7 linked regions of the Oryctolagus cuniculus genome follow. The protein of the gene in region 2 purifies or fractionates together with the protein of the main gene of each other region. This does not show direct contact. Links are inferred from orthologs where the notes say so. Each region holds a gene or a part of one and is shown on either strand. Other genes may lie near its edges.

Evidence for each region.
Region 1: the proteins of CSNK1D (region 2) and CRY1 purify together in Homo sapiens (affinity purification with mass spectrometry; 3 studies listed by BioGRID and IntAct, counting the BioPlex papers as one, with this or other methods). This does not show direct contact. The link is inferred for Oryctolagus cuniculus from reciprocal best matches to the Homo sapiens genes CSNK1D and CRY1.
Region 3: the proteins of CSNK1D (region 2) and VPS13B purify together in Homo sapiens (affinity purification with mass spectrometry; 3 studies listed by BioGRID and IntAct, counting the BioPlex papers as one, with this or other methods). This does not show direct contact. The link is inferred for Oryctolagus cuniculus from reciprocal best matches to the Homo sapiens genes CSNK1D and VPS13B.
Region 4: the proteins of CSNK1D (region 2) and FAM83H purify together in Homo sapiens (co-immunoprecipitation; 5 studies listed by BioGRID and IntAct, counting the BioPlex papers as one, with this or other methods). This does not show direct contact. The link is inferred for Oryctolagus cuniculus from reciprocal best matches to the Homo sapiens genes CSNK1D and FAM83H.
Region 5: the proteins of CSNK1D (region 2) and PER1 purify together in Homo sapiens (affinity purification with mass spectrometry; 4 studies listed by BioGRID and IntAct, counting the BioPlex papers as one, with this or other methods). This does not show direct contact. The link is inferred for Oryctolagus cuniculus from reciprocal best matches to the Homo sapiens genes CSNK1D and PER1.
Region 6: the proteins of CSNK1D (region 2) and FAM110B purify together in Homo sapiens (affinity purification with mass spectrometry; 3 studies listed by BioGRID and IntAct, counting the BioPlex papers as one, with this or other methods). This does not show direct contact. The link is inferred for Oryctolagus cuniculus from reciprocal best matches to the Homo sapiens genes CSNK1D and FAM110B.
Region 7: the proteins of CSNK1D (region 2) and CRY2 purify together in Homo sapiens (affinity purification with mass spectrometry; 3 studies listed by BioGRID and IntAct, counting the BioPlex papers as one, with this or other methods). This does not show direct contact. The link is inferred for Oryctolagus cuniculus from reciprocal best matches to the Homo sapiens genes CSNK1D and CRY2.

Annotation. Positions count from the first base shown.
Region 1 is NC_091442.1:109,558,288-109,561,787, reverse strand, and holds part of CRY1 (cryptochrome-1), read left to right. Parts: intron 1-721; coding exon 722-906; intron 907-1,281; coding exon 1,282-1,370; intron 1,371-1,900; coding exon 1,901-2,041; intron 2,042-2,122; coding exon 2,123-2,434; intron 2,435-3,500.
Region 2 is NC_091448.1:745,859-750,134, reverse strand, and holds the start of CSNK1D (casein kinase I), read right to left. Parts: upstream 2,801-4,276; 5' UTR 2,470-2,800; coding exon 2,394-2,469; intron 1,919-2,393; exon of another isoform or gene 1,781-1,918; intron 1-1,780. UniProt on the Homo sapiens protein: Essential serine/threonine-protein kinase that regulates diverse cellular growth and survival processes including Wnt signaling, DNA repair and circadian rhythms. It can phosphorylate a large number of proteins.
Region 3 is NC_091437.1:125,326,540-125,330,039, reverse strand, and holds part of VPS13B (intermembrane lipid transfer protein VPS13B), read right to left. Parts: intron 1,732-3,500; coding exon 938-1,731; intron 1-937. UniProt on the Homo sapiens protein: Mediates the transfer of lipids between membranes at organelle contact sites. Binds phosphatidylinositol 3-phosphate. Functions as a tethering factor in the slow endocytic recycling pathway, to assist traffic between early and recycling endosomes.
Region 4 is NC_091437.1:167,629,806-167,634,021, forward strand, and holds the start of FAM83H (protein FAM83H), read right to left. Parts: upstream 2,801-4,216; 5' UTR 2,651-2,800; coding exon 2,093-2,650; intron 1,365-2,092; coding exon of another isoform or gene 1,280-1,364; exon of another isoform or gene 1,276-1,279; intron 1-1,275. Other genes in the region: IQANK1 (IQ motif and ankyrin repeat domain-containing protein 1), read left to right, coding at 1,280-1,364, 3,976-4,065. UniProt on the Homo sapiens protein: May play a major role in the structural organization and calcification of developing enamel. May play a role in keratin cytoskeleton disassembly by recruiting CSNK1A1 to keratin filaments. Thereby, it may regulate epithelial cell migration.
Region 5 is NC_091448.1:52,646,310-52,650,594, forward strand, and holds the start of PER1 (period circadian protein homolog 1), read right to left. Parts: upstream 2,801-4,285; 5' UTR 2,662-2,800; intron 2,439-2,661; exon of another isoform or gene 1-2,438. UniProt on the Homo sapiens protein: Transcriptional repressor which forms a core component of the circadian clock.
Region 6 is NC_091437.1:83,119,174-83,123,185, reverse strand, and holds the start of FAM110B (protein FAM110B), read right to left. Parts: upstream 2,801-4,012; 5' UTR 2,456-2,800; intron 1-2,455. UniProt on the Homo sapiens protein: May be involved in tumor progression.
Region 7 is NC_091432.1:20,094,738-20,098,237, forward strand, and holds part of CRY2 (cryptochrome-2), read right to left. Parts: intron 3,404-3,500; exon of another isoform or gene 3,361-3,403; intron 2,309-3,360; coding exon 2,168-2,308; intron 513-2,167; coding exon 201-512; intron 47-200; coding exon 1-46. UniProt on the Homo sapiens protein: Transcriptional repressor which forms a core component of the circadian clock.

The sequences.
Region 1 (3,500 bases), on a different chromosome or scaffold from region 2:
TTTAATTTTTATTGATGATTGAAGAATTCCTTGAGCTTGGTTGTAATATGTTTTTCACATGTCCACATGTGTTAAAGTTTTTGTTATAGGGGCCAGCATTGTGATGGGTTAAGCCACTGGTGGCAATGCAGGCATCCAATATGGGTCCTGGTTTGAGTCTTAGCTGCTCCACTTCTGATCCAGTTTCCTGCTAATGTGCCTGGGAAAGCATCAGAGAATGGCTCAAATGCTTGGGCTCCTATATTAAAGTAGGAGACTAGGAAGAAGCTCCTGGCTGCTGGCTTTGGCCTGGCCCAGCCCTAGCCATTGTGGCCATTCAGGGAGTGAACCAGTGGATGAAAGACCTCTTTGTTTCTTTCTCTCCCTATCTGTAACTCTGCCTTTGAAAGGAATAAAATAAATCTTAAAAAAATGTTTTTGTTATTGTTTTTAGGCTACTATAGCTGCTTGATTTTTTCACTCATAAGTCGTTAGTACTCTTCATCTTAAAGGTTATGGTATTTGCATAGTGTATACTTTTGACATCTTGCAGATATCTACAAAATGAAGAAAATGTGTTTTAGACTCATTAACTATTTGAATACATTTCCTGGTCATGTAAGAAATTGTCATTCTATTAGAACTCTTATGTGATTAATTATTTTCTGATTTTAAGCCTTTTTTAGAGCTCATCACACCAATGTATCTTATATTAACTGCTCTTTATTAACTCTTATAACAGGATCATAGAACTCAATGGTGGACAACCGCCTCTCACTTATAAAAGATTTCAGACTCTCATCAGCAAGATGGAACCTCTAGAGATCCCAGTGGAGACAATTACTTCAGAGGTGATAGAAAAGTGCACAACTCCTGTGTCTGATGACCATGATGAGAAATATGGAGTCCCTTCCCTGGAAGAGCTAGGTGGGTGTGAACTGTAATAAATGTGGAACTTAACAGTTTGTAAGTCATAAATGACTCATAAAATTTTACCTCTGATTTTTCCACATGAAGTATTAATACATTAAAAGGGAAACGGTGAGGGGGGAAAGAAAGAAGAAGAAAACTGCTAAACTAAGAAATGATAATTCTGTAGTTATTTATGTGCTCTCTCTATATCTGTTGCTATCACCTTAAGATGTACATCCTAAAGAACAGAGACTATGTCATAGCATCTCTCCAGGCCCTCAATTCGCTCATGCTGTTCTCATAATTTTTCTGCAAAATAATTGTTTTCACAACTGTGATTAAATAAAAAACGTTTTAGTTCCAGAAAATTGATTATTTGTTTTTTTGTAGGTTTTGATACAGATGGCTTATCTTCTGCAGTGTGGCCTGGTGGAGAAACTGAAGCACTTACACGTTTGGAAAGGCATTTGGAAAGAAAAGTATGACAATTTAGATCATCTAGCCATGTTTTATTTCCAAGCTGGCATTTTAAAAATAATTTCATTCTCTTTTAAAAACAAAAAGTAGAATGTTGAAAAAGAAGAGTTCAGGGAAATAAAGTTACACAAACCTAAGTATTTGAAAATTAACTACCTCATTTAAATGCCCTTTCTCCTGCTTTTCTGATTATTTTTCTTGGTTATTTCCTATCTTTCTACTTAACCTGGTTTCCGATGACCATAATTTTGGAATTAGAATAGAATCCTCTGTTAACCTCAGTGGGCAGTGGAAGGTAATCTCAGGCATGTGTTGGGAGTTTGAAGGTTATGTGTTTCACATGAGTCTGTGCTGCATGATAATTGAAATGAAAGAATGCTTACTTTTCTTTCATGTTTAATAAACATATGTAACTTGTGGCTTGGATAATAAATTATTCCCAGAGAACTGGGAAACTTTTATTAAAAAAAAAATCTGTTTTGAATACTGTGTTTAAGTGGGAAAGACAATGTGATTCTTTCTGTGTTTTCAGGCTTGGGTGGCAAACTTTGAAAGACCTCGAATGAATGCTAATTCCTTGCTTGCAAGCCCCACTGGGCTCAGTCCTTATTTGCGATTTGGCTGTTTGTCATGTAGACTATTCTACTTCAAACTGACAGATCTCTACAAAAAGGTACTTTTTAAAATCAGTGCTTACCTTTCAAAATACATTTTTAAAACTTGCTGATAATACTTCTTTGCCTTTTAATCATAGGTAAAGAAGAACAGTTCCCCTCCTCTTTCTCTTTATGGGCAGCTATTGTGGCGTGAGTTTTTCTATACAGCAGCAACAAATAATCCACGCTTTGATAAAATGGAGGGAAACCCCATCTGTGTTCAGATTCCTTGGGATAAGAATCCTGAGGCATTAGCCAAATGGGCTGAAGGTCAAACAGGCTTTCCGTGGATTGATGCCATCATGACACAGCTTCGTCAGGAAGGGTGGATTCACCATTTAGCCAGACACGCAGTTGCTTGCTTCCTGACACGAGGTGACCTCTGGATCAGTTGGGAAGAAGGCATGAAGGTAAGTGTTCTAAGAACTGTAGCCAGGTCTTTGAAGGAACTCCAGATGTTGTATATTGTACAGATTCATTTATAATCTAGTGTTTCAGTGAATAAAACTTTTAATCACCACAGTATAGGCATACTTTTGGACAGCAGGATGGTATAATCAGACAGGAGAAATGCTGAAAACTGGCTAAGACAATAGACCTAAACTCATTTAAATGTTTAAAGCAGGCTGTGATTTAAGAGAACTGTAAGATTTAGCATTCTGGAGTTATCGTGTAGATATATTTATATGTATTCATTTCTGTCACAAAAAAGATTTGCCTAAGAATTCTCAGAAATAGTGAATTTATATTATAAATCTTAGAATGTAAATCATTTCACCTTACTTCAACATTGTAACTTTTTAGTAATATTTCTGTTATGTAAAGTGAAACATACTATGTTTTATGATATCATATTGTGGTTTTATGTAACAGGATTTACAAATATGTTCTCCCTTTCTGACATTATTATAAATTTTCCCTATCTAAGGACCAATTTTGAGCCTTTTTTTACATCTCCTTTATTTCCTTGTACAAAATTGTATATAAAGATGTGTAGCAAAAACTTAGTCAATTTATAATCATTTATTTAACTCTATTTTTTGAATCAAGAAATTTAAAACTTAAATTGTGTAATATTAGTACATTTTTAAAGTACATTTGTATTTAAGTGTGCTCCCTTTATCTAGGCCACTATGCCAAGCTTCTAAGTTTTTGTTGGTGATTTATTTGGTAGTGGTTTTGCTTTTTTGAAAGTGGTTTACTGTTTTTTCTCTGTTAATATCCTATCTTTTAAACCAGTGACTCTAGTAATTTTTTTACCCTTCCCCCAGTAACACTGCAAGGATTGGAAAAGTAAATTCTCTAATCTATATTACCAATATTTTTCTTTCCCTGCTATTCCTCATTATAGAACAAACAAGGAAGCTAACTGGAATGTTTTGATTTTACAGTTTTGTGCTAATTTTCTTTGCCTTGACTTTTGATCTACAGTGACCTCAAAAATGCTTGCTTTGAGAATTATGTGTGTGCAAACTA
Region 2 (4,276 bases):
GGGCGATGCCGGAAGAAGAATCGGGAACTCCTCTCCTCTCCAGGCCGCCAGCACTGTGGGGTTCTGCGTGCTACACACCCCGCGCGGTGCCGCTCCAGAGACAGCTGAGCCGGGGGAAATGTGAAAACCAAAAGAGGCTGCTCAGGGCCCCTCCCCAGGATGGAGACCAACGCCAGCCGCCGGCGAGGGCCCCCCTCCCGGCACTCAGCTCCCACCGCCTGCCTCTGGAGACCAACGCGACGGAGGACAGAGGCTCAGCCGTGCCGGGCCCCGCCAGCCTGCGCGGCCTCTTCCCTGGGATGCCAGGCTGGGAACACACGGTCCACACTAGGAACACGTCCTCTGTTTTCAGAGGCTAGCAAGTGTGTAGGAGTGAAAGGGGTTTCCACTGCCTTGGACACCCCCCACCTCCAGCACATGGTGACATACACGGCCACCACAGTGCCAGCGCAGGGGGCACACAGCCACGGCCCACACCAGCGCCACTCCACAGGTGTGCGGGCTGCCACACCTTGCCAGCTTGCCCTTCTGAAGAGACTTCTGGATGCGGCAGGCTGAGACTGACAACTGACATTGAATTTCTTAGCGGCCCAAACCCAGCACATACACTTTCCGGAGCCCAGGCATTTGGCAAATAGCCCTAGGGTGCTGGCCCCACCCCGCCCCTGCCTTCCCTCCTTCCAGCTCCAAACACCTGGAAGCACACGAAATGCCAGGTAGGAGCTCAAAGCAGGAGGGCAGGGTCAAGGGCACTCACGCCACACGAGAAGGGGTCGCGACACCTCAAGTCCGACACAGGCACGACCAGCCTGCACAGCCTGTCCTCAGAGGGTCAGCCGTGGGCCCAGCGCCAACGCTGCTGGAGGAAGACGGGTCGTGCCCTGAGGGATGCGGGCCACAGCCCATGTGAGAGGCAGCGGCCTCTGGAGCCGGACTGTACGCAGTGCCACGGCGTGCCCAGCCAGCACAGCGGGGTAGCCGAGGACGGCGCCTCACTGGGCTTCCACTCCACAGGAAGCTCCCGTGTCCGTGAGTCGCCTGGTGACCACCGTGCCACGACTGGACTGGCTGAACCCACCTCTGACAGCACAAAGCCGTCTCAGGCCGCAGAACAAAGTGTCAAAGCCTCCCCTTTTGATGCCCACGGAAGGGTGCTTGATGGGCTGGCTTTTCGGTGTAGATCCCAAATCCTGAGGTTAAAACTTTTGCCAAAAATCCATTGTTCTATAAATAAGCCAACTACTTCCATTTACCCGGCACTCCGGCTCCCGGCACTGCTGAGCGCGCAGCTGGCAGACTACTTAGAATAAATATTTAAAATGCCTCTGAAGCATGTTTTACTCAGCAGGCTATTAAGGGAGAAACTCAGGTTCAGACATCCACGCGGCCTGGAAGCACCCAGGCCCCAGAGGTCCTCACGACCACCTCCGCCCTCGACGGCCGGAGCGCAGGACAGAGGCAGGGCCTGTTCACCCGCCCTTCACAGCAAGTGCACCTGCCGGCCCGGGCTTCGGAGTCACTCAGGAACGGGATTCCACCGCGGAACCAAGCTCCCGGGAAATCCCGCACCGTGCGCCTCCCGACCCGTCACTGGCCTCTGCCGGGGCCCACACCTGGGCACGGACGAGGGCCCACAGGTCCCGGAAATGGCTGCGGGGCGCGTCCCGGCCCAGACAACACTTTCCGCCCTCCTACTGGGGACTAAGGTGTCGTGTGCGCGCGTGTGTGTGCGTGCGCGGGGGGGAGGGGCGGCCCACAGGGCCCGCGGCCGGTCAGTTACCTGCAAGGGGGCCAGCGGAAGCCACCAGGAGCCGTTTCTGACAGGGACCCCCCCACCGCCCCCAGCACGCAGGTCATGCTGACATTTCGCCCACACGTGTGCAGTGCGGGGATGCGGGTGCCCCAGCAGGCGCCAGACCCACCGCAGACGGGGGACAGTGGCCTTTGTTGACGGCGGCGACCTCAGGCCAGCGGAGGACGCTGCCGCCCGGCCCTGCCCCCTGCCTGCTCCAGGCCCTGCCCGCCCCCAGGCCCGGAGACCCCTAGACCCGGCGGCACCCCCTCCCGGAGGCCCCGCGCCCCCGATCCTGCTGTCCAGCCCCCTCCTCACCGGACCTCGTCCCACTGCTCGGTGCCACTGCGCCCCCGGCCCGGCCCATCCCCAGGCGCCGCTGTCCCCTCCCCCTAGGCCTCGCTGACCCCCCCCACGTCCTGCCCACCCCCAGACCCCGCTGTCCGCCGAGCGGCCGATGGTTTCTGGCCACGATCCGGCGGCTCCTGAGCCCTCGCCCCCGCCTTCCGCGGCCGCCCGGCCTCGGACAGCTGCGGGGTGCGGGTCCCCCGCGGGAAGGGGCGGCCGGGGGGAGGGGCGGCGGCGGCTCGCGGGGCCTCACCGAGATAGATGTCTCCGAAGGAGCCGCTGCCGATCTTCCGGCCCAGCCGGTACCTGTTCCCGACTCTCAGCTCCATGGCGGCGGCCCGCTCGCCCCTGCCCTCCCGGCCGCTTCCTGGGTCTGAGCTCCGGAGGCGGCGCCGCTGCTGCCGCTACTGCGGGTCCGGCTCCGGCTCCGCCCCCCTCACGGCCCCGCTTTCACCATAGCTTTCCGGCCGCTCCACCGCTCCCAGCGCCTCAATACGGGGCGGATGGGACAGTTCGAGCGCCGCCGCCCCTGCTCCGGCCCGTGCCGGCCCAGCTCGCCCTCTCCCCGCCGCGGATGGACTCGGATCTTCCGGGCCTAAATCCCCCTTCAGCTGCCTAAAGGAACCGCCGCCATCGTGCTGTGACGTCACTTCCCCTAGCAACCCGGCGGGGCGGGGCCTCGCCGCTCGGTGGGCGGGGCCTCGCCGCTGGGGCGGGGCGAGCGAGCTCCTGCGCACTGCCCGCCCCGCGCCCGCAACGCCGGACCCCGGCCCCTCGCCCCTCGGTCCCCGCCACCCAAGGCCACCCGTCGTCTTGTCGCCAGCGGGCACCACGTGCCGGCGTCCCCTGCCCCGCAGATGCCTCGCGACCGACCTAGGAAAGGACCCGAGCGGGTCGTGTGCAGGAAGGAGACGGGGGTCGGGGGCTCCCGGGGCTGGAGCTGACACCTCCCCCCGCCCCCGCCCCCGCCCCGATCCGGAGGGAGCCCTGTAGGCTGCGAGCGCGGAAACGGCGTGCGGGCCCCCGCAGGAAGGACGCGGGGTGAGGCTGGGCGCTGGCCGGAGTCAGCGTTGGGTCCCAGCTTCGTGGGGTCTGGGCGTCCTTGCGAAGGAGGTCACGGACTCCAAAGTTAAGGCCGAAGGCAGCTCTGGATCCCTGTGCCTGAGCTCTGCCCGCAGAGACGGTGGGGGGCTCTTCCAGGCATCCCGACGGGGTTGGTCCCCTCCAGACACCCCGGGGGGGGGGGCCCAAGAAGGGCGATCTTCTGGGGCTTCCGCGTGCTCCCCAGCCTGCTGAAGGCGAGCACCAGGGCACGCATCCCCAGCCACACTCTGCTCCATCCAGCCTCCTGACCCCCAACGTCTGGAGGTCAGGTTTTGGGGCCCCGGGCACCAGTCAGGCCTGGAACCAGGTTCTCGGGCTCACGGGTCAGAGGTGGATTTTGCACCTCGTGGACACAATGTGCTCCTAGCTCTTCTGCGGGAAGGCGGGGGAGGGGGGCAGGAGGAGCCTGGCGCCCACTCCCTGCAGTTCCTGCCAGCGCCTCGAGGAGCTGCAGGGCTTGGGGCAACCCCTCGGCCTGCTGCTCATTCTCGGAACGGCTCAGGACAAGGGGGTGTCACCGGGACCAGAGCTGGTGCCTGTGGCGCCCAGGAGGGACCCCGGCGGGAGCGGTGCTGCCCAGCTGCCCCAGCACCGGCTGCGGCCCCCGTGTGAGGCATCCCCCAGCCCCAGGAGCGCCCTGCTCCCGCCTTTCTGCCCCTTGTGCTCCGACTCCGCCCCTCTGCCCACTTGAGTGACCTGAGGCCAGACTGGACGTCAGGTTCCCCGGAGCCCCCTGCAGCAGCGAGGCCACTCCAGGCGGCTGCTCCTGCCTGACTGCTGGGACTGGCCCCGGTGGCCTCCAGCCGGCACCTCCAGTAGTTGGCCCACAGAAACACTGGCCCAGGGGGGGCGGGTGACTTGCATGCGAGCTCAGTGGGGTCAGGGTTCAGCCGCCTCCTGCGGTGCTGGCATCCCAGATGGGCGCCAGTTAGAGTCCCCGCTACACCACTTCCGGTCCAGAAAGCAGCAGTGGACGGCCCGAGTGCCTGGGCCCCGGCACCCACGTGGGACACCTGCACAGAGCTCCTGGTT
Region 3 (3,500 bases), on a different chromosome or scaffold from region 2:
CTGCCTGGCACAAGGGCCCTTCTTCCCCTGCGGTCTCAGCTCTCTGGAGAGGCCGAGATGCCAACAGCCGTCCCTCTGCCGCCTGGCTGGCCGGGCAGTGCCACAGCGGGTCGGTAGGTAGAGGGCTCTTTGTGCACCTTAGGAGCACACAAATCCTCGGAATTCCTCACCTCCGGCTATTCATGAGCAGCGAGGAAGAAACCCACCCAGCTACAACTGGAGTTCTTTTAGGCCTGGGGAACGAAGGGCCGGCGCTAGGCTCTCTGGCTGTGCTAGGATGCTAAGAAAGGGCCTCAGTGCCCTTTAGCAAGGGGCTAAGCAAGCATTTCCTAGACTGAACTGAAGGCCCGAGTTAGGGAACAGCTAATATCACAGCTGTTCTTAGCGGCGTGTTCACCAACAGCCAAGCCAAATGCTGCGTACTTGACATACTTTCATCTGATCCCCTCAAAACTCTCTTTCTTTTTCTGTCCCCCCCACCCCCTCAATCTCCCACCTCTGTAGTGCTTTGCTTCCGAAGAGAGGAAATGAAACCTTACAACTTCACGGGAAAGACGTGAGTGAACTCACTTGGCTGACTCGTTCCACCCCAGAACTTTTTCCATCTTCACCAAACCACTTCTCTGACGAATGAGGGATGGGATCTTTGTGATGTTCCAAAGCCAGTGTCTCTCTCTATGCTCCTCCCTCCTGAAAACTCTTACACCCATTTTACAGATGAGGAAACTGAGGCTTGGCCAGGTTCAATACCTTGCCCCAAATCTTACATCTAATGCGGCAGAGTCTAGATCTGAATCCTGTTCTGTTTCATGATAAAGCCCCCTGTGTCACCTCCCACCGACTGCATCCTTGTAACTCGAGACAGTGAAGGCAAACCCAAGGTGTGTCATCTTTGCCTGGCCCGAGAGCACCATAGGCCCTCAGCTGGTGTCCTTACCTGCTCGGAAAAGGGCCCCGGCGGCGTAGTGCATGGCCAGGGCGTGCACGAGCTGCCGTGCGGTGGTGAAGACTGGGCCTCGCTCAAACATGGAGAAGGCGAGAGGCGTGTGGTCGGAGGCGATGTACAGCTTGAGGGAGGCGTGGATGCTGACGAGCAGACTCACCGGCTGGATCAGCAGCCTGCGGAGCTTCACAGGGTTCACCAGGGCCCTGGCGTGCTGGGTCACCTGTGCGGGCAGCTCCTGCTGAGCCCCGCAGGGCGCCCCCGGCTTGCAGCTGGGAAGGTACGAGTCGAACAAGGTTTTGATGTAGTACACAAACGTGTCTTCCACGTACAGCCGGGCGGGCTTCAGTTCAAAGGTGAACTCGTTAATATCAAGCCAAGAGCTCTTGCCATCGGTTAAGGTGACGTAAAGCTTGATAAAGCAGTTTTCCTTGTACTCCTCCAGGTCGGTGCCGGACGCGAGGAGACTCTGCGTTTTGGAACACTGGGTGGGCTCTGGCTTTTCTCCCTGGCAGACCAAGACCGCAAAGTGGAAGTTGGACTTGTTGTAGAGCTGGTTGTCCACCTGCAGGTCCCCACAGTAGACCTCTATACAGTGCAGCTGGAAGAGGGCAGCGGCGGGCTCCTCCCCGGGCAGCGCACTGGCCCCAGGGCCCGCGTGCACCAAGACGTTGTCCAGCGTGAGCCTCAGAAGTTCCGCGGACGCTCTGTGGTGGCTGAGGTCATCAAACACGGCCAGGCTCAGCTGCGTGACGAACGTTTTAAACGTAACGATCTTCTCCAGGGTCCTAGAGCAGAAGCGGAAAGAACCTTAGTGGCCCCGGCTCTCCTCCCTTCCTCCCTTCCATTGACGATGGTGCCTCACTCAACACCTCCTGATGGGGCATCAGGGTCTACCAGACACAGTGAGAACTCAGGTGTTTGGACAGAGCCGGACGCTCCTGGGGAAAGTTCACTATGGGACGATTACAAGCTCTTGTCGGCTCTGTAGGTGTCTCCCTTATCAACACCAGATTTGTACTCCCAAGTCCCTTGAGTCACTGTGCACACATTCTCTATTGCGATAATCACCGCGCAGAAAGAAGAAAAGAACGAAGACGCCTTCAAGTGAAGAAGTGAAGCAAACCAAAGAAAATGCTGCACGCACTCCCAGCGCCGCTGCCCACTGCCAGCGCCCGAGCCGAGCCCAGGCCTGCGGAGCGCCTGCCTCGGCCACCCCCTGCCTCGGCCGCCCCCTCCCCGCACGCTGAGCCACCCTGCTCTTCCTGCTCCAGGACAGTGCTGAGCAGGTCCCGCCCCCTCTAGACGGCCTCCTTGATTGCTCACAGCCCGCCAGGCCTGCTCTTTCTCCCTCAGATGCCCCTCAGGTCTCTCCACTCGTCCTGCAGGTCCTCTTCACACATGAACATCCACACTCAGTCTCCTGTTTCTCTCCTCGTTCTGTCTCAAGCTTGCTCCAAGCAGGCTTTTGCTTCCCATCTAACAAAACAGCTCTGGTCCAGGTCAGTAGAGTCACACGTATTTGACTACGACGGGAACTCCCTGCTCCTGCCAACACTTCCGTCCTCTCTCAGAGCCTCCTCCCCTCTGGCCACTCACCCGCAGGTGTTCAAGTGAATAAGACCCTTCTTTTGCACTAGACCCCTTGAACCGGCAGGACCAAGGCTCAGCCCCTTACCGTTTCCCCTCCCCTCGCTCCTGACCTCCCTGGGGACTGCATCCGGTCTCGCGACTTGACAGGGCACTGGAACGCGGAAGCCCTCAGCTCCTGCACACGCAGCTGCCTATCCATGTGGTCGCTCGGATGTCTGACCGACATCTCAGCTTCCCGTGTCTGGGACCAAACTCTCGACTTTCCCCACTCAACTCACATCTAGCCTTTGCCATCGCAGCTAATGGCAACCACTCCCTACCAGTGCCTTGCCCCAAATCCTGCAGTCATCCTTCACGCCTCCGTTTTCAGCTGCTTTCCGATGCACTGGGGCAGTCCTGTGGGCTCTTCCTTGACAGGACATCGAGCATCTGACCACCTGGCCTCGTCTTGCCACCTCAGCTGACACATCCACTGCAGTGTAAGCCGCCAGGAGCTCTGGGGTGAGCACCTGTCACAATCTCCTACCCCGTTTCCCTGCTTGCTGCTACCGTGTTTCTCTGTAGTCTCCTTCCACAAAGGGTCTTCTGGAAGTTTAGGGCACAGCTGTAAGTGCCCTGCTCAAAATGCTCTGACCTGCCCATTTCACCATGGCAACCCCCGAGGCCTACGCCATGTGTCTCCCAGAGATCTGGATCTCTCTGGTCCCTGTGCTACAGGCTGGGCAGCCCTGACTGGAAATGTCAAAGTCCAGAACTTTTTGTGCACTGACATGATGTCCTAATTATGAAATTCAACACTGCATCTCACGTGAGGGGCTGCAATAACAACACAGGTATGCTAAAAATACTGTATAAAGCTATTTTTCGGCTATGGGTATGAGGTATATATAAAACACAAATGAATTTCATGTTTATTTCAACATTATTTATGTAATCAACACACACACACACAGGGGCTGGCGCT
Region 4 (4,216 bases), on a different chromosome or scaffold from region 2:
GTCTGGGGGGAGAGCTGGTGTCAGGGTAGGAGGGGTCTGGGTGGGGAGAGTTGGGGCCAGGGTAGGAGGGGTCTGGGGGGAGAGCTGGGGCCAGGGTAGGAGGGGTCTGGGGGGAGAGCTGGGGCCAGGGTAGGAGGGGTCTGGGGGGAGAGCTTGGGTCAGGGTAGGAGGGGTCTAGGTGGGGAGAGTTGGGGCCAGGGTAGGAGGGGTCTGGGGGGAGAGCTGGGGTCAGGTTAGGAGGGGTCTGGGGGGGAGAGCTGGGGTCAGGGTAGGAGGGGTCTGGGAGGGGAGAGCTGGGGCCAGGGTAGGAGGGGTCTGGGGGGAGAGCTGGGGCCAGGGTAGGAGGGGTCTGGGGGGGAGAGCTGGGGCCAGGGTAGGAGGGGTCTGGGGGGAGAGCTGGTGTCAGGGTAGGAGGGGTCTGGGTGGGGAGAGTTGGGGCCAGGGTAGGAGGGGTCTGGGGGGAGAGCTGGGGCCAGGGTAGGAGGGGTCTGGGGGGAGAGCTGGGGCCAGGGTAGGAGGGGTCTGGGGGGAGAGCTTGGGTCAGGGTAGGAGGGGTCTAGGTGGGGAGAGTTGGGGCCAGGGTAGGAGGGGTCTGGGGGGAGAGCTGGGGTCAGGTTAGGAGGGGTCTGGGGGGGAGAGCTGGGGTCAGGGTAGGAGGGGTCTGGGGGGAGAGCTGGGGCCAGGGTAGGAGGAGTCTGGGGGGAGAGCTGGGGCCAGGGTAGGAGGGGTCTGGGGGGGAGAGCTGGGGCCAGTGTAGGAGGGGTCTGGGGGGAGAGCTGGTGTCAGGGTAGGAGGGGTCTGGGTGGGGAGAGTTGGGGCCAGGGTAGGAGGGGTCTGGGGGGAGAGCTGGGGTCAGGGTAGGAGGGGTCTGGGAGGGGAGAGCTGTGGTCAGGGTAGGAGGGGTCTGGGGGGAGAGCTGGGGTCAGGGTAGGAGGGGTCTGTGGGGAGAACGGGGACGTGGAGCTGGGGCCAGGGTGCGAGGGGTGGTGGGGGAGCTGGGCGTGGAGCTGGGGCCAGGGTTGGGTCAGCCTGGTGCCCTCGTGGCCCCTGTGGTCTGGAGAGGGTGACCTGTACTGGGCAGCAGACCCCGGAAGCCAGCGGGGTGGGCTAAGCCCAGAGTGTGGGAGCGAACTCTGGGGCTGAGGGGGACGAGCTGTTACCCAAGGCCTTGCCCAGCTGCTGGGCACCCCTGGGAAGCCATGGGGGGGCCTGTCCCCCTGCCCCGACCTCGGCCACGCTGAGCACCCCCTCCCTGGCCTTCCCTTCCCACTCCAGGAGAATGAACGGTAAGAAGGGAGGGGCCGTGGCTGCGCCAGGGACATGGCGGACACTCCTGCCTGGGCCGGAGCCGAGAGCCACTGCTGGTGAGTGTGGCCTCTGACCTCCAGGGCACAGCCACCAGGCACTGGCCTGGGAGACCCCTGGACATCTCCCCACGGCACCTTGTCTGGAGCCCCTTCCCGGAACGTGGCCTCAGTGGGTGTCCGAGTTGGGTTGACTGTGACAGCCCCCGAGGTGGGGTGGGCCTGGGCAGTGCTCGGAGGAGCCCAGCTTTGTCGTATGCATTGTCCAGGCGGCGGCTCCCGGCCTCTGCCGCTCGGGCCTGCCCTGGGCTCTCCCCAGACGCAGCCCTCGTGCAGGGGCCTGGCTTGAGCCCTGCCCCTAGAGAGCTCCCAGAGTCCCAGGGTCTGGTGGCGACTGCGCCTCACCTCGGGCAGGGTTAGGTCCCAGCTCCCCAAAATAGCCCCAGCGGCGTCTGAGGCCGCCCCTCCTGGAATGAGGTAATGAGTGCAGGTGCCGCGTGCTGCTTCCGCCACCCCAAGCCCTGGGCATGTGAGCAGCAATAAACAGGCAGGGCGGGCGGACCAGGAAGCACTCACAGCCTCCGACCGGCCTGCCCTGCCCCCTCCCCCGGCCCCCCACAGCCGGGTCCTCAGCAGGGGCACCGCGCTCCCCGGCTCGGCGTCTTCCACCCACCAAGCTTTGGTCTGCGCTGCCTTGCGACGGGCACAGCCTCCCTTGCCAAGCGTGTGAACAAGCCGTGGGCGCCCCCCGCCGGAGCCCCCCCGCGCCCCTGCCCGCCAGGCCTTACCTGGCTCTGGGTCTGCAGCACCTCCAGGCCGGCACTGCGCAGCTGCTCCAGGGCCACGGCCAGCTGCAGCCCCTCCATGTGCACCCAGGCCTGCTCCTCCTGCAGCTGCTGCAGCCACAGCTGCTCCTCCTGCCACAGCTGGCTCTGCAGCTGCACCTGCCGCCGCCTCTCCTCCAGCAGCAGCTGCTCCTGGGCCAGGCACAGCTGGACCTCGTGGAGCCGCAGCAGCTCGGGGCCCAGGGACGGCAAGGGGCCCCCCGCTCCACAGCCCTCCATCTGCTCAGCCGGGACTGGCACCCACTCGGACCCCAGGGCGGCGGCCTGCTCTGGCCTCACGGCTGCCTGGGGCTGCTCTGGCCCGGCTGCCCTGGGGTATCCTTGGGGAGCCAGCTGGATGCTGGTCACGTGCCCTGGAGGGGCCAGCCCCGTCTCACCCTGAGGGCCCTCTGTGGCAGGGGGCGGGAGCTCGGCCTCTGTGCCCTGCCGCCCTGCCGCCCGCTGGGCCCTGCCCGCCCTCCTGGCTCGGGGTTTGCGAGCCCGGCCTCGTTTGCCAGACATGGCCCTTCCGCCAGGTGTCCGCTCCCAGGGCCCCGGCTCGGCGGCCGCGCGCCTCCGTCGGCCAGCTCAGCGGGCACCTGCGGAAGGCCCCAGAGGGCTGCTGGCTCCCGTGCCAGGCTCCTGTAGTCCCCGTGCGCCCGCCTTGCCCCTCGGTCGTGCCCGCAGCCCGGCGGCTCTGGGCCCTGGCTCTGCCTGTGGCCCTCACGGGCCCCACTCGGCAGGGCCGGGCCACGCCAGCAAGTTTATGGGGACTCGGCGGCGCGGTGGCTCACCCGCCGAGAAGGCTGACTAACGTGCTGACACAGGGCCCGGGGGTTCTCGGGCCACAGGCCTCACAGGCCAGCCTGGGAGGGAGACAGAGTGGAGGCGGCTCTCGCAGCCAGACGGTGGTGCGCAGCCACGCCGTGCCCGGGCCTGCCCTGGGCGGCGCCGAGGCCCCCACCCCGCCCCACCGGCTCCCCTGCCCCACCCCTGGTCGCGGGAAACTCAAACTGTGTCCTAGTCCCACGGACCACGGACACTCAGACTCTCCCTGGCCACAGCCTAGCCCATCCGCTGGCCATGGGCGGCTCCAGCCTGGCTTGCCCCGAGCCCTGTGTGGACCAAGCCCAGGTGGACACTCCAAGGAGCCCCACAGGGCTCGAGCTTGTGGGGGACTTGAGAGGAAGGCCCTGGCCCCAGCGTGGTGGCCTGTGGCGAGGGCCTGGCGGCAGTGCCGGAAGCGGAGACAGGGCCCCCAGCCTGCTTTCCTGCGCCATGCCAGACGGCTGGAGGCTGGGGGCCAGGCAAGGGGCCTCCCACGACCATCCTGGGTGGGGGTCCCGGGGCTGGGGGGTGCAAGGCCAGCCCCCCCCAGGCTTCCTGTCTGGAAGGCAGACTCCAAAGGCCCCCTCCCGAGCGTTTCCCCAGCCCGGGGCTGGGTGCTGACTCACAGCGACGCCCAGGGTCCTGCCCAGCCGCCAGCTCTGCCACACTGGCTGGACGGGTTCGCCTGGTCCAGCCCTGCCCGGCGCACACCCCCTCCTGCCCAGACCTTGCCCCAGAGGCCTCAGGAGAAGGTGGACAGACGCCTCCCAGGACAGCACTGAGTTGGACACACGGAAGCAGGAGGCACCTGGGGTGGGGGTGGCACAGGTGCTGGGCAGGGGGCAGGGTGTGGGTGAGGCTGACCAGCAGGGTCCCCTGCCTGGGGCTGCAGCACGCCCGCTGTCTCCCTCACCCGAGGGCCTGCAGGAGGACGCGGTGGGGCCCCATAAATGATTCCTGAGGTCGTCAGGCGGGGGGTCTCCCAGCCCGGCCACCCTGACTGTCTCGCCCCTCCCCAGGGCAGCCCGGAGAGAGGCATCAGCCGCCCAGGAATACGAGTCAGCAAGTGAGGGCGCCTGTGCCCGGCGAGAGCCCCCCGGCCGCTGCAGGTGAGGACACAGCCGCCAGGAGGGCCAGCTGGCAGGAGGGGCTGCCCTGGCCAAGGACACGGTGTGCCACGCATATACGCAGGTGTATGGCATGTGCCCCACCTGTACTCAGGCATGTGTGCATATGTGCCACACACGTACTCAGGCATGT
Region 5 (4,285 bases), about 52 Mb from region 2:
GGTCGGTAAACGTGATGATTCTGTTTTCAACAAGGATGGCAAGGAAAGACGGCGAGGGGCCTCAGTGGTGAAGAAGCCACGGGAAATTTCTAGAGAGAGGAGGAGCGGAACACGGAGTCCTAGGAAGGGAACGGGGGCCTGATTTGGGGGGCAAAGGGCCAGTCTGGGTCCAGGAGGCTGTGGTCGCACAGACCAGGGCTGTGAGGTGCCCTTCCTTCCAGGGCTCCCTGGACATGTGGGCAGCAAGTGGAGGCCCCCACGCAGCTGCTGACATAATCAGCTGTGGGTGCAGCCCCAGCACGGTCACGTGGTCTAAGCTTTCCTTAACAATCATGTTCCCCGCGGGGGGGCGGGGCAGAGGGGAGGGCCCTGTGGGGTGTTGTAAAATAACCTGGAAAAACTGAACCAGGGAGACAGAAAACAGACTTCTTAAAAAATGACCTGCGACACCTCCCCCCCAATACACACACAAATGTACACGCGCGTGCCGGCCCACGCTCATACACTGTGGCCCCGGGCCTGTCTCGCCGCAGACCCCTCTTCTCGGAAACATGGCTCTCCTCCCCGCCCAGGGCTCCTCGGGGATTTAGGTGCGATCGCTCCCATCTCCACCTCCGTCTCCGTATTCTTTCTGCACAAAGGGCCCGGCGCCCCGGCAGCCCCCGGCCGCTCGGCCTCACGGTCCCCACAGTAACCGGGCCCCGCTGCTGCCGTCAGTGCTGGAGACGGGGGCGGGGACCCGCGGTGACGTCAAAGCGGAGGAAGGGGGCGGGGCGAGACGGCCGGGGAATGTGGGGCAGGGAGGTTGGAGAGGCTGGAGAGGCAGCGGTTTGGGAGGCGGCCAGTCCCACAGGGCGGCGGCCAGCGCACTTGGGAACATCGTGTTCTCTTGGCTGGAGGCCCAGGACATGCACTCAGCTTGGGCGCCTCCCCCAAACCTAACGACAGCCGTCCTGTCCCAAAGCCAGAGATTCCTGGAGAGAGGATTAGGAGGAAGGGGTCCCCCGCCGCCGCCCCCAGGCCTGGCTCTCGGTCCAGAACTCGGCGTCTGCCAGCCCTTTGGCTTGTGCCCGGCAGTTTCTGGCGCTGGCTTTCCCCCTTCCCCATACTGTACACATCGGCTGGCCCGGTGCCCAGCAGCCGGGGCGGGGGAGCTCGGAGGCCCAGGTTCTGCGAGTGAACAGGCACCTTTGCTCCCTCCCGGAGGCCCCCTTCGGAGCCTGAATCTCTGGTTCCTATGGCAGCAGAAACCGAGCGAGGGAGGAGGGGCAGCAGAGAGAATGGGTGTAGGATGAGGAAATCAAACTGGGACAGAGCAGTGGCCCAGTCTGGGGCCTGGATGCTGGGAGAGGGATGGAAGGGAGGAATGAGGGAATCTGGGCTGGTGCCTGCAGACCAGGAAGAGGGAAACGGGGAGTCATCAAAAACTTCCAGAAAAACATGAGAATGCGCGCACAGTTCCCAGGCACAGCACACCCTGCCACTGTTGTTTTGTCACCCTAAAGCCAATTTTTTAAAGCTACATTTTATTTAAATGACCCAGGCATCGTGCTAAGCACTTTATATACATTATCTGATTTAATTTCCAGATGGATGGGTGTTATTATCCCCATTCCGTGGGAACAACTAAAGCCAAGGAGGCACTGAACCGGCCGAAAGTGTCTGCTTCCCGGCTTACTCTGAGCCTGTTAGCAAATGGAGTGCAGAGTTCAAATCCGAGCTCTAACAATGGCTTCTCATTCTGGCGTCTTACCCTTGGGGAACCTGGGAGGTCTCAGCCGGCCTCTAAGCTGCATTCCAGCAAACCTAGGCCTCTTGTACCCAGCTTAGATTCTAAGTCTGCTGCCTGGAACACAGACTCATCCAACCCCTCCTCTGCCCGGGACCCAATCTTGAGACATTCTGTGTGCACTCCCACACACTTCTCATCGCAATAGCCCATTCCCCGAGCTCACAAAGTCCTTGGGATCACTCTAGCAGCCAGAAGCTCCAGTGATTTCCTAGGAACCCACTTCCAACAGGCCTGGTTGGTTGCACCAGAGCACCCTCTTAATGCCTCCCCACCTGCAGGGGCCCTGGAAGACATGGACACAGCCAGACTGCACATCCCGCAACCCTGTCCTCCCTCTCAGAACTCAACATTTGCTAATGGCCTGCTTCTATTCCCAAGAATGGTCTGGGAGAGACACCCAGAGTAAGTCATCGCACCTCCCTTTCTCAAATCACCATGCTAACCCCGCAGTACCCTCCCAAGGTGCCAGGGTCTCCAGCCTCAGAGCTCTGCCTCCCTCCAGTCCTTAAGGCGCCCCCAAACGCCAGCCATGCACTGGAACACCCCCGTCAGCTCTCAGGAGTCTCGCTGGGAGCAGGGGCTTCAGCTCTTTCAGATCATGGAGGGCTTTTGAGCCCCTCCCCGGGCACTCAGGGGTCCAGGCATCCTAAGAGGCACAGGGATGTGATGACAGCAACTCCCACCCCTACCCCGACTTCTGGGTCTCCCTTCCTCACGGCCATCAGAGCTCTCGCTGCGAGGATCACGCATTCGCAGGCTGCCTCCTTCCTCTCCTCCCCTCCATTCTGTCCCTCCCCCAACTCAACACAACGACCCGGAAAAGCCCGTATCGACCGCCCTTCATCTCTTCCCCACCCCTGGGCACTCACCGCTCCGCGCGCACGCAGAAACCCAAATTTCTCCACAACTGGGACGGACCCTAGCGACTCCACAGGCTCCTCCCGACCCGCCCACTGGCCGGGTTGCCACGCCCCCCGAGCTCATTGGCTCACAGGCACCGACCCATGCCCCGCGCCGCGTGCAGCCGCTCGGCCCCCGCACAGCCTCCATTGGCGCCTCCGGCCGCCGGCCTCTTCTCATTGGTCAGTGTGCCAACCGGCAGTGATCCTTCCACGTGCGGGAGGGGCCACCCCGGCGCGTTGATTGGAAGCCTGGCCGGAAGATACGCCCCCATCCACTGCCGAAATTCTTATTGGCTGTGGGGACAACCCTCGACCTGCCTAGGGCCGTGACGCAAATGCCAGTCCTGCTCTCCAAACTTTTTCATAGGCTGAGAGGTCTCGGAGATGTAGGGGACACGTGCCGGCGGCCTCACGCGGCAACTTGTTTACCCAGAAGCTGGGGATTTTCCTTGACGACACACAGCACAGACTGCTGAGTGTGCGCAGGCGCAGCGAGCGGGCCCTGCACGCAGGCGCAGATGCAGCGGCGGTGGCGTAGGTGGAGGCGTTTTGTGCGGAGACCCGGGCGTGACGAGAGCGCCCACGACTCTTTTGCTTCCGGCCTTGCATCCGTGAGGCCGCCGAAGCTGGAGGGTGTATGAGACGGAGGCCCTCCTCAGATCTCAACGTGCGTGACGATGAGGGCGATGAAGACGATAGCGCTCTCCTGGTCGTTTCGTCTCGCGGACTCCGAGGCCAGCTCTGTTACTACCTCCCCACCCCCACAAAGGAGTGCGAGCCAGAGAAGTTACATAATCTGTCCGGACTAACACGTCAGTAATGGGCCTAACGTCTGAACTCGGGTCCCTAACACCATGAAGAGGGCGAATCCTAAGAACCGCGGGGACCTAAACCCGGAAGGGACTCAGGAGTTAAGCTGCAAACCCCTGGCGTATAGTGAGCCCTCGAGAAACGTGGAGAAACCTCGTAATCACAAGAATCACCTGCCCAACAATCTCCGGGGAGAGTCCTGAGAAAATATTTTTTAATTTTAATAAAGATTTCAGGGGCCAGCGTTGTGGCGTAGGGAGTAAAGGTGACGCTGGCACCTCATATGGGCCTCGGTTCGAGTCCTGGCTGCTCCTCTTCGGATGCAGCTCCCTGCTAATGGCCTGGGAAAACAGCGGAAGACGGCCCGAGTCCGCGGGTCTGCAGAGTGAAACAAGGAGGGAGATTCCGTCGGCTGGTTCACACCCCCACCCCCCAAAGAGCCTCAATGGCTAGAGCTGGGCCAGATCGCCCATGTGGCTGCAGGGGCCCAAGTGCTGGGCCATCTTTTGCTGCCTTCCCGGGCTGGATCGGAAGCGGAAGTGGAGCAGCATTCTAACCTGCACTTTGATATGGAATGCGTGTTGCCAGCAGCTGCATCTCTGCAACCCTGGAAGTCTATTTTTAACATATAGCACCCTTAGCTCTTAGGAGCCAACGGGTTTGTCAAACAGCGTGGGTTTCCTGTACTGCTGAATCTTCATGTTGCAGTCCGGAGAAGGCGGCCCTCCAGAACTCACCCAGCACTCTATCCACTGTTGAAACCTGCTGGGTGCCCCATCAG
Region 6 (4,012 bases), on a different chromosome or scaffold from region 2:
TGGGGGTCCTCCAAGTGGAAGTGACCAACCTGACTCAAATACAGAAAAATCAAAGTCAAGGATACAGTTGCCTAAATAATATTTCTGCAAGGCTTGTCTGTCTAACTGCAATACCATGGTTTTCAAAGAGGAAAAGCCCAGCCAGGTAACTACCCTAAAAAAAACAGTTAAAAATACAAAGGGAAAACTTTTCAAAAAGCACAAAACCTGTATTCCTGAAAAATCTGCGTGGTAAGAATAGGTTCTGGAGAGGCACAGGCAACCGGACTGCTACAGTAATCCCTGCTGGTCCACCAGCATTATCCACAGCACCACCTACTGCCACCTCACGGCGCCTGCAGCAGCTGTGGTTCCTCAGGCCCCAGCAGTTAACACCATGCCTTGTTTAGCTAGGAAGTTATGGAGGAAGGAAAAAGATGTCACTTCACCGTTTAGCGAGGAGAGGAGCTTGAAGTGAGAGTTGATCCCTGATGGTCTTTCAAAATCGCTAAACAGTTAGCACCCACTGCTTACCAACAGGCAGCAAACACACCATTTTGATTTTTCTTTTCCTGGCCAGTTAGACTACAAATCCTGTTCTAAATACTATAAACCATGGATAAGACTGATAGGCTCTGGTTGATGTATTTTTAGCAGATCTATCGATCTGTAATTACCTTTTACCACAATGGGACCCACTTAACGCTGCTGTGCCAACATGTTCTTTCAACTAGGAATCATTACTCTCAACCTAGAGTAGGGGAGAGGGGGGCACAGTTCAGGGACAAGATTCAGACCCTCAGACCCTAGATTTTCCCTAACATCTGGGCCTCTCCTTGGACAATCAGGCCCGTGAAGGATTCTGAGGTCTCCTAATTATAAAGTGCACCAGGACAGGGGTGGGTTCATAGCTATGGTCCTTGCAGGCCACTACGTGAGAAGTTCTAAATCAGCCCTTACCTACCAACATAGAGAGCAGCTTGCCAGGCACAAGTAAAACCACCACCCACCCCTGATTCCATCCCAAAATTAAACCAGACTTGAGCCAAAAGACCTGTAACAAAAAAAACCCAAAACCATCAATTTCCAAACCAAAAAACACATGGACTTATATATAATACAATTCAAAACAATGCTAACTGACACTTACTTCAGGCTATATGTTGGGTCCTGCTCTAAGCATTTTATTGATTATCAGATTGGCAGAGCACTGCCGTCTCTCCGTTCAGTCAGTGACTTCATGGTGTACCACCTCCAGAAATACCACAGGTCAACTATCATAGCACAAAGCCATGAGATTTTACCACTGAAGAATTCCAGGTTACCATGAACCTGCCCTTATGTTAAAATAACTATACTTATGAAAGAGCACATCTGAATGACCACAAGTTGCAATGGCAAAAAATGAGGACAATAAATTGGTAGAGGTTCTATTCCAGGGAATGACTCTAAACATATTGCAAAAATGCTTGTTCTACAATCATACTCTCCTCTTCAAAAATAAACCAGTGTGCAGTCCTTACAACGCCAGCCATGCGATGTTGTCACAGATGTGTGCCAGATTCTGCACGGGACATAACTTGGCTGTGAAGAAAACCCGCAGAGTTTATCGGTATCTTAGGCAGCAAAGAAAGCCTCATGTTTGTGTGCGAGTGTCTTAGCAAATCCGAGTCACGTCTTGAAAGGGTTAACTAGCCCAGCACCAGGTGCTTTCTTTCCACTGTCCAGAGTAATTTAAGCACGCATCAAGTTATCTTCTCCTCAAGCCAGCTTAGGAGACTTGTCACTGCCATTTACACAGTGCAGCTCCGGATCTCACGACAATAGGAGGGCACCAGGCCGGGCAGGGCAGCCACCGGGCTCCCACAGCTGGCATGCGCTTTGTTGCCAAATTGTGAGCTCCGCCGGGGGATGGGGATAAGCGTGAGCCAAGGGTAATTTAATTATATTTCAAATCTGTATGCTTTCAAAGAAAGTACAAGCGAGGGAGCCACTGGAGGGGATAACCCCAAACAAACTTTCAGAGCCATGGAATCTGCATACCTTGCAGTTCACTCCCAGCCAGGGATGAGGAGATACTGGTATTTCCAAAGTATTTGGCACGGAAATCAGAGATGGGGCAAGCAGCGGTGGCGGAGGAGAGCCCCGGTGCCTCGCCGACCCACTCCTCCACAGACACCCGCCGGCGCGCCTCCGGGGCCCAGCCCGGCTACGCAGCGCAGTCGGCTTCGCCCGGCCCGGAGCTCAGGGCGGGCAGGGCGCCCCCGCCTCCCCGGAACCCCGGCCCGGTCCGTCAGGGCCAGCGAAGCCCCCATGCCGGGCTAGACGGAGATGAGGGCAGGGCGGGGAGGCTGCAGGAGCAGATCCGGCTTCGCTCCGCCCGCGCGCGGCTTAGGCATTGTCCACTGACGGAGCGCAGCGCGGCCACCAGACCCGGACCCCGAACCTGCAGCAGCACTCTGACCCCCAGTCTTACCTCGGCCGTGCTCCCTGGCTCGGGGCGGCGCGGGCCAAGCCGGCGGTCAGGCTTCCAGAGACGGCGAGGAGGGACGGTCTGGGCCCGAGAAGGACCGAGGGCCGAGGGCGGGCTGCTGGGGCCGCCGAGTCCTCACCGCCGCCAACGCCGCCGTGGGGCTGCGGGCAAGGAGCAGGGAGGGTTGGCCAAGCCGGCCCAGGACGCGCGGCCGCGCAGGGCCCAGCTGCTGGCGGTGGCCGCGATGGTTCGGTCTGCACCGAGTGGGAGGGCTCCGGCAGGCTCCGCCGGAGAGCGAGGGAGGGAACTTGCAGGGAGTTGCTGCGACCGAGAGCGCGTGTCGCTGACCGAAGGGGACACGCCCCTCCAACGCCCCGCCCAGCTTCTGCCCCGCCCCGTCTCACCTGCCCCGCCCAAGCCCCGTCCCGCCACCCCTACCGCCTTCCCGCACCTGCCCCCAGGTGAAGGCTCCCCTAGATCAGAGCCTAGGACCCCAGTTCAGGCCGCGTGACTCTCGCGACCTGGAGTTTGTGTCCTCAGTGTGATAATCCACTTGGTAGCCAACCCATACCGACCATTGTGGCTCTGGGCACCATTCTCGGTTTGCTAACTTTCAAATACTTAAATGGACTATTGCAATATTATTTATAGGCTGCGTTTCTGGAAGTGTTTTCTACATGTTTGTGTAGAATAGAATAAAATAGTAATCCTCAGGCCTGATGTACTGCCCTTAGACTGTGGGCCAGCTGATGTTTCAAATTAAGTAAATGGAGTGCATCACTAGTCATCTCATAATATTTCCTTAACACGTTTAGAATTTTTAAAAACTATTTGCTTAATAACTTGGTTGGTTTTCTTCAGGGAGGCTATCTTGCTTTAGGAAGACTAAACACAGTTTTGCTACTGGGAGCTCTAAAATATGAAATCCGTTTTTACCAAAATGACTGGATTTAAGTGAAATAGGGACTCACCATAATTCCTTCTCAAAAATATTTAGCAAATATTTTCTCTAAACTTTAGAAAACATTGGAAATACAATCGCATACACCACATTTTCTCAACAAGGCTATCTACACATACAGGTACTTAAATGGTTGTGAGTACTGTTTCTTTTGAATTCAGAAATTATCAAATAAATAAAGGTCAGACCTCTGCAATAGAGTTTTGGCCATTTACAAGATTACCACATTAAAAGGCGACATAACACTGCGTTTTCAGTGCAAGTTTCCTTTGGTATCCTAATGCATTGTTTGTGATCACAGATATGTGTGGGGAGCAAACCGGACTAGACTGAGTTACTGGAATTAAGACTTATTCTATGCATCTGCTCTCCCACAATATGGCGCTGGGAGAGAAGTAAACAGCTTCCGCACAGCTGCCTCCAGTTCAACCAATAAACTGTAGGACTTGCTACTGATTGGAGGAGAGCAGCGTACTCGGCATGTGGGCAGCCGAGTTGGGATTGGCGGAGGAGGACTATAAAGGAGGAGAGAGACGGCATGCACCAGGAACATCTATGGGGAACATCTAAGGGAACCCGTGCAGCCCCCGAGAGAACCG
Region 7 (3,500 bases), on a different chromosome or scaffold from region 2:
CCGCGTTCACGCTGAAGTCGGCGTCCAGAAGCAGCTCGTCGAACACCTGGGCGGGGGCGGGGACGAGCAGACTCCTCGGGGATCCGCGGCCACGGTTCTCCCCCAGGGGCCCAGGGCCAGCCACGGAAGGCTCCCACGCCATCCCCCCGCCCGGAGAGGGCAGCCCACAGCTGGGCTCGGCAGAGGGAGCGGGCACTCACCCGGACCCCGCTCTCCCAGCTGACCCACAGGTCGCCGCGCGTGAGGAAGCAGGCCACGGCGTGCCGCGCCAGGTGGTGGATCCAGCCCTCCTGCCTGAGCTGGGTCATGATGGCGTCGATCCAGGGGAAGCCCGTCTTGCCCTCAGCCCACTTGGCCAGGGCCTCGGGGTTGCGGTCCCAGGGGATCTGGATGCAGATGGGGTTCCCCTCCATGCGGTCGAACCTGGGGTTGTTGGTGGCTGCCGTGTAGAAGAACTCACGCCACAGGAGTTGCCCAAACAGGGACAGGGGAGGGGTGCTGTTCCGCTTCACCTGAGGGCGGGGGCGGCACGGACACGTGAACGCTTGCCCGGCTCGCTGCGCCAGGCCGCTCAGGTCCCTACAGACTCCAAACCTCCTAGACAGGCGGAGGGCCTGTCCTCTGGAAGAAACGGCGCAGCGCACCTGCAGACTCAGCCCCGGCCCTGGCAGGCAGCAGCAGATGGCCTGAGTGCTTGGGCCCCTGCCATCCACACGGGAGACTTGGACGAGCTCCTGGCTCCCGGCTCCCGGCTCTGGCCTGCTGCAGCCATTTAGGGAGTGAACCAGTGGATGGCAGATCTCCGTGTCTCCCTCTCTCTCTCTCGCTCTGCCTTTCAAATAAAATCATTTTAAAAAAGAAAAAAACTTTTAAAAAAGATGTGTAGGGAATGTAAGGGGAATCATTACAGGGAGAAGTTAGTAAGTCTAAAAAATGATATTTAAAAAAAAAAAAACAAAAAAACCAGAGTGGTTGCAGAAAGCCAGGCAGGGTGGGCAGGAATCAAGCCTGCCAAGACTGGCCACGGTGGTTGGCTGCACTTTCTAGATAGTCAAGGGGAGTTCTCTGATCAGAGTGCATAAAATGCTCGGTCCAGACATGGGGTAAACAGGCTGCACACGCAGGCTGGGTCCATGGAGGAGTTAAGAGACCAGCCTCCAGGAGTTCCAGGAACGAGAGGTGCAGCAGGTAAGATGCCACTTGCGATGGCTGCCTTCCATATTAGTGCCAGGGTTCAAGTCCCAGCTCCACTCCCAACCGCGGCTTCTCGCTAACGCACGCCCCAGTGGGTGGCAGGTGGCGGCTCCAGGGGTTGGGTCCCTGCCCCCCAACCTGGGAGACCTGGACTGAGTTCCTGGCTCTGGGCTCTGGCCCGGCCCGGCCTCAGCCGTTGTGGTCTTCTGGGGAGTGAACCAGGGGATGGGGGCTCTGTGTCTGCCTGTGACTCTCAAATCTATCAATCGATAATAAAATAATAATTTGTTTACAAAAGGGATCAGATCTCTAAGCAAATAATGATTTTCCTAAAACCGTAAGATTACCCCCCCCCCCCAGTTGCCAAGCTACCAGTGGCCTGAATTCATGACCTTGGCAAGGACAGGGAAACGTCAGAAACGCAGCCCCAAGGAAGAGCCGCTGACTGGGGACTGGATACCTGTCCCTTCTCCTTCCAGGGATGCCTGTGGGCTGCTGGTCCCCATGGCCGGGCCCCCATGAACTCTCTCCCCCTGCCTCGAGCCTTTCTCCCAGCGCTCATGGGCAGGTGCAGCCCCTGGACAGTCCCTTCAGTGCTCTGGGGGCAGCCCCAGAGGGCAGCTGTGCTCAGTGCAGGACTGGCTCCAGCCTCACCTGCCCATCGTCCCGCGCTGGGGCTCTGGTGCACATCCACCCCCAGCCAGTGGACCTGCTACCTCTGGGCCCCCCGCGGCCTCCTCTGCCCCACAGGACCACAGGGGATGGATGCAGATCAGTGATTCACTGGGCGCGTGGCTCTGCCAGCCCTTGCGCACTGACCCTTCCCCACCCACTCTGGACTATGGGATGTATGACACAGGCCCCCACCTCCAGGGACAGGATGGGGACCTTTTCCAGGGTGACTGGCAAACGCAGGAGGCCCAGGGCCACTTGGCTGCAAGCGGGGAAGGCACACAGGCCGCACTGCTCTCACCTTCTTATACAGGTCCCACAGGCGGTAGTAGAAGAGGCGGCAGGACAGGCAACCGAAGCGCAGGTAGGGGCTGAGGCCGGTGGGGCTGGCCAGCAGGGAGTTGGCGTTCATCCGGGGTCTCTCATAGTTGGCAACCCACGCCTGTGGAAGGGGAAGGTGACAAAGCAAAGAGCTGGGTGCTACGGAGGAACGGAGAGCCACGGGGCCAGGGCTTGCACGCCGTGCTCACGCCACTCCTCGGAAGCTGTGGATCTGCGTTCTGGCCCTGACTTCGCCAGTGAAGCTGCGGATGAGTGTAAACTTTGTCCCTCAGCTGTTTCTCTATTAAATAACAGCATTTCCCCTCCCCTGAGATGAAGCGAAATGAGACAGCCAAGAACTGGAAAAAGACTGAGTGGACTCCAACCATCAGAGGAAAGGAAAGGCTTCTCCTCTACAGAAACAAGGCCCGTCTCTGGTCACCAGGGCCTCCTGAGACTGCCCTGCCCCACGCCGCCCGAGGCCGCGGCTGCCGTCACGCACTCTCCGTCAGATCTGCACGGCCCCGCGAGGGAGCCTTGTCGTTGCCTCCTTTGGAAAACGAGCACCGAGGCTCAAAGGTTCTGCGACTCACCTGGGGGCCGGGGAGGGCGGGCTTCCGAGTCCTGACCAGGCTCTCCCTGCTACCTGTGCAAGTGTCCTCCTGCGCAACCCCTACGCCCATCCTTCGGTTCCTGGCACCCGGTGACAGACTGCTTGCCCCGCCCAGGCCTCCACTGCACACTTCCCAGCTCCACCCCTCAGCAGACGAGAAGGCAACACGAGCCACCAGGTAGCCACCTGCAGTCACTGAACCCCCACCTGCATCCACGCCCACCCTTCTCCTCCCCTCCCATGACCTGGCTCGGAGTCCTCCCCTCTCTCCCCTTGTCTGTTCAACCTCCCTCTCTCCTCTCTCTCTCTCTCCAGTTTCCACTCCAAGAACACTCTTCTCGCTCAAATATACAAAGCAAAGGACACAGCAGTGCGGCTGGGCCTCCCCACCTGGGCCCACTGTGCTCCTTCAAAACCCACCTCTCTCTACTTCCCTCACCCCCGCCTCCACGTTCCAGCCCACCTGCTGGCTCCTGGCTTCTCCACTCGGCCACGCTGTCCCTCCCATCTTCCACGCCACGTACCCCACACGCATCCTGTTCTCCCAGCAGCACAGCACCATGGCCGGCTCCTGTCTCTCCTCCGGGGATTCCCTGGGCCTTGGTGACCTCACAGCTCATGGGCTGCTCTTAGTCTTCCCTGAGCCCCTCCCCCTCCATCTCTCTCTTCAGTGCCGGCAGCCCAGGGCTCTGTCGTGGGC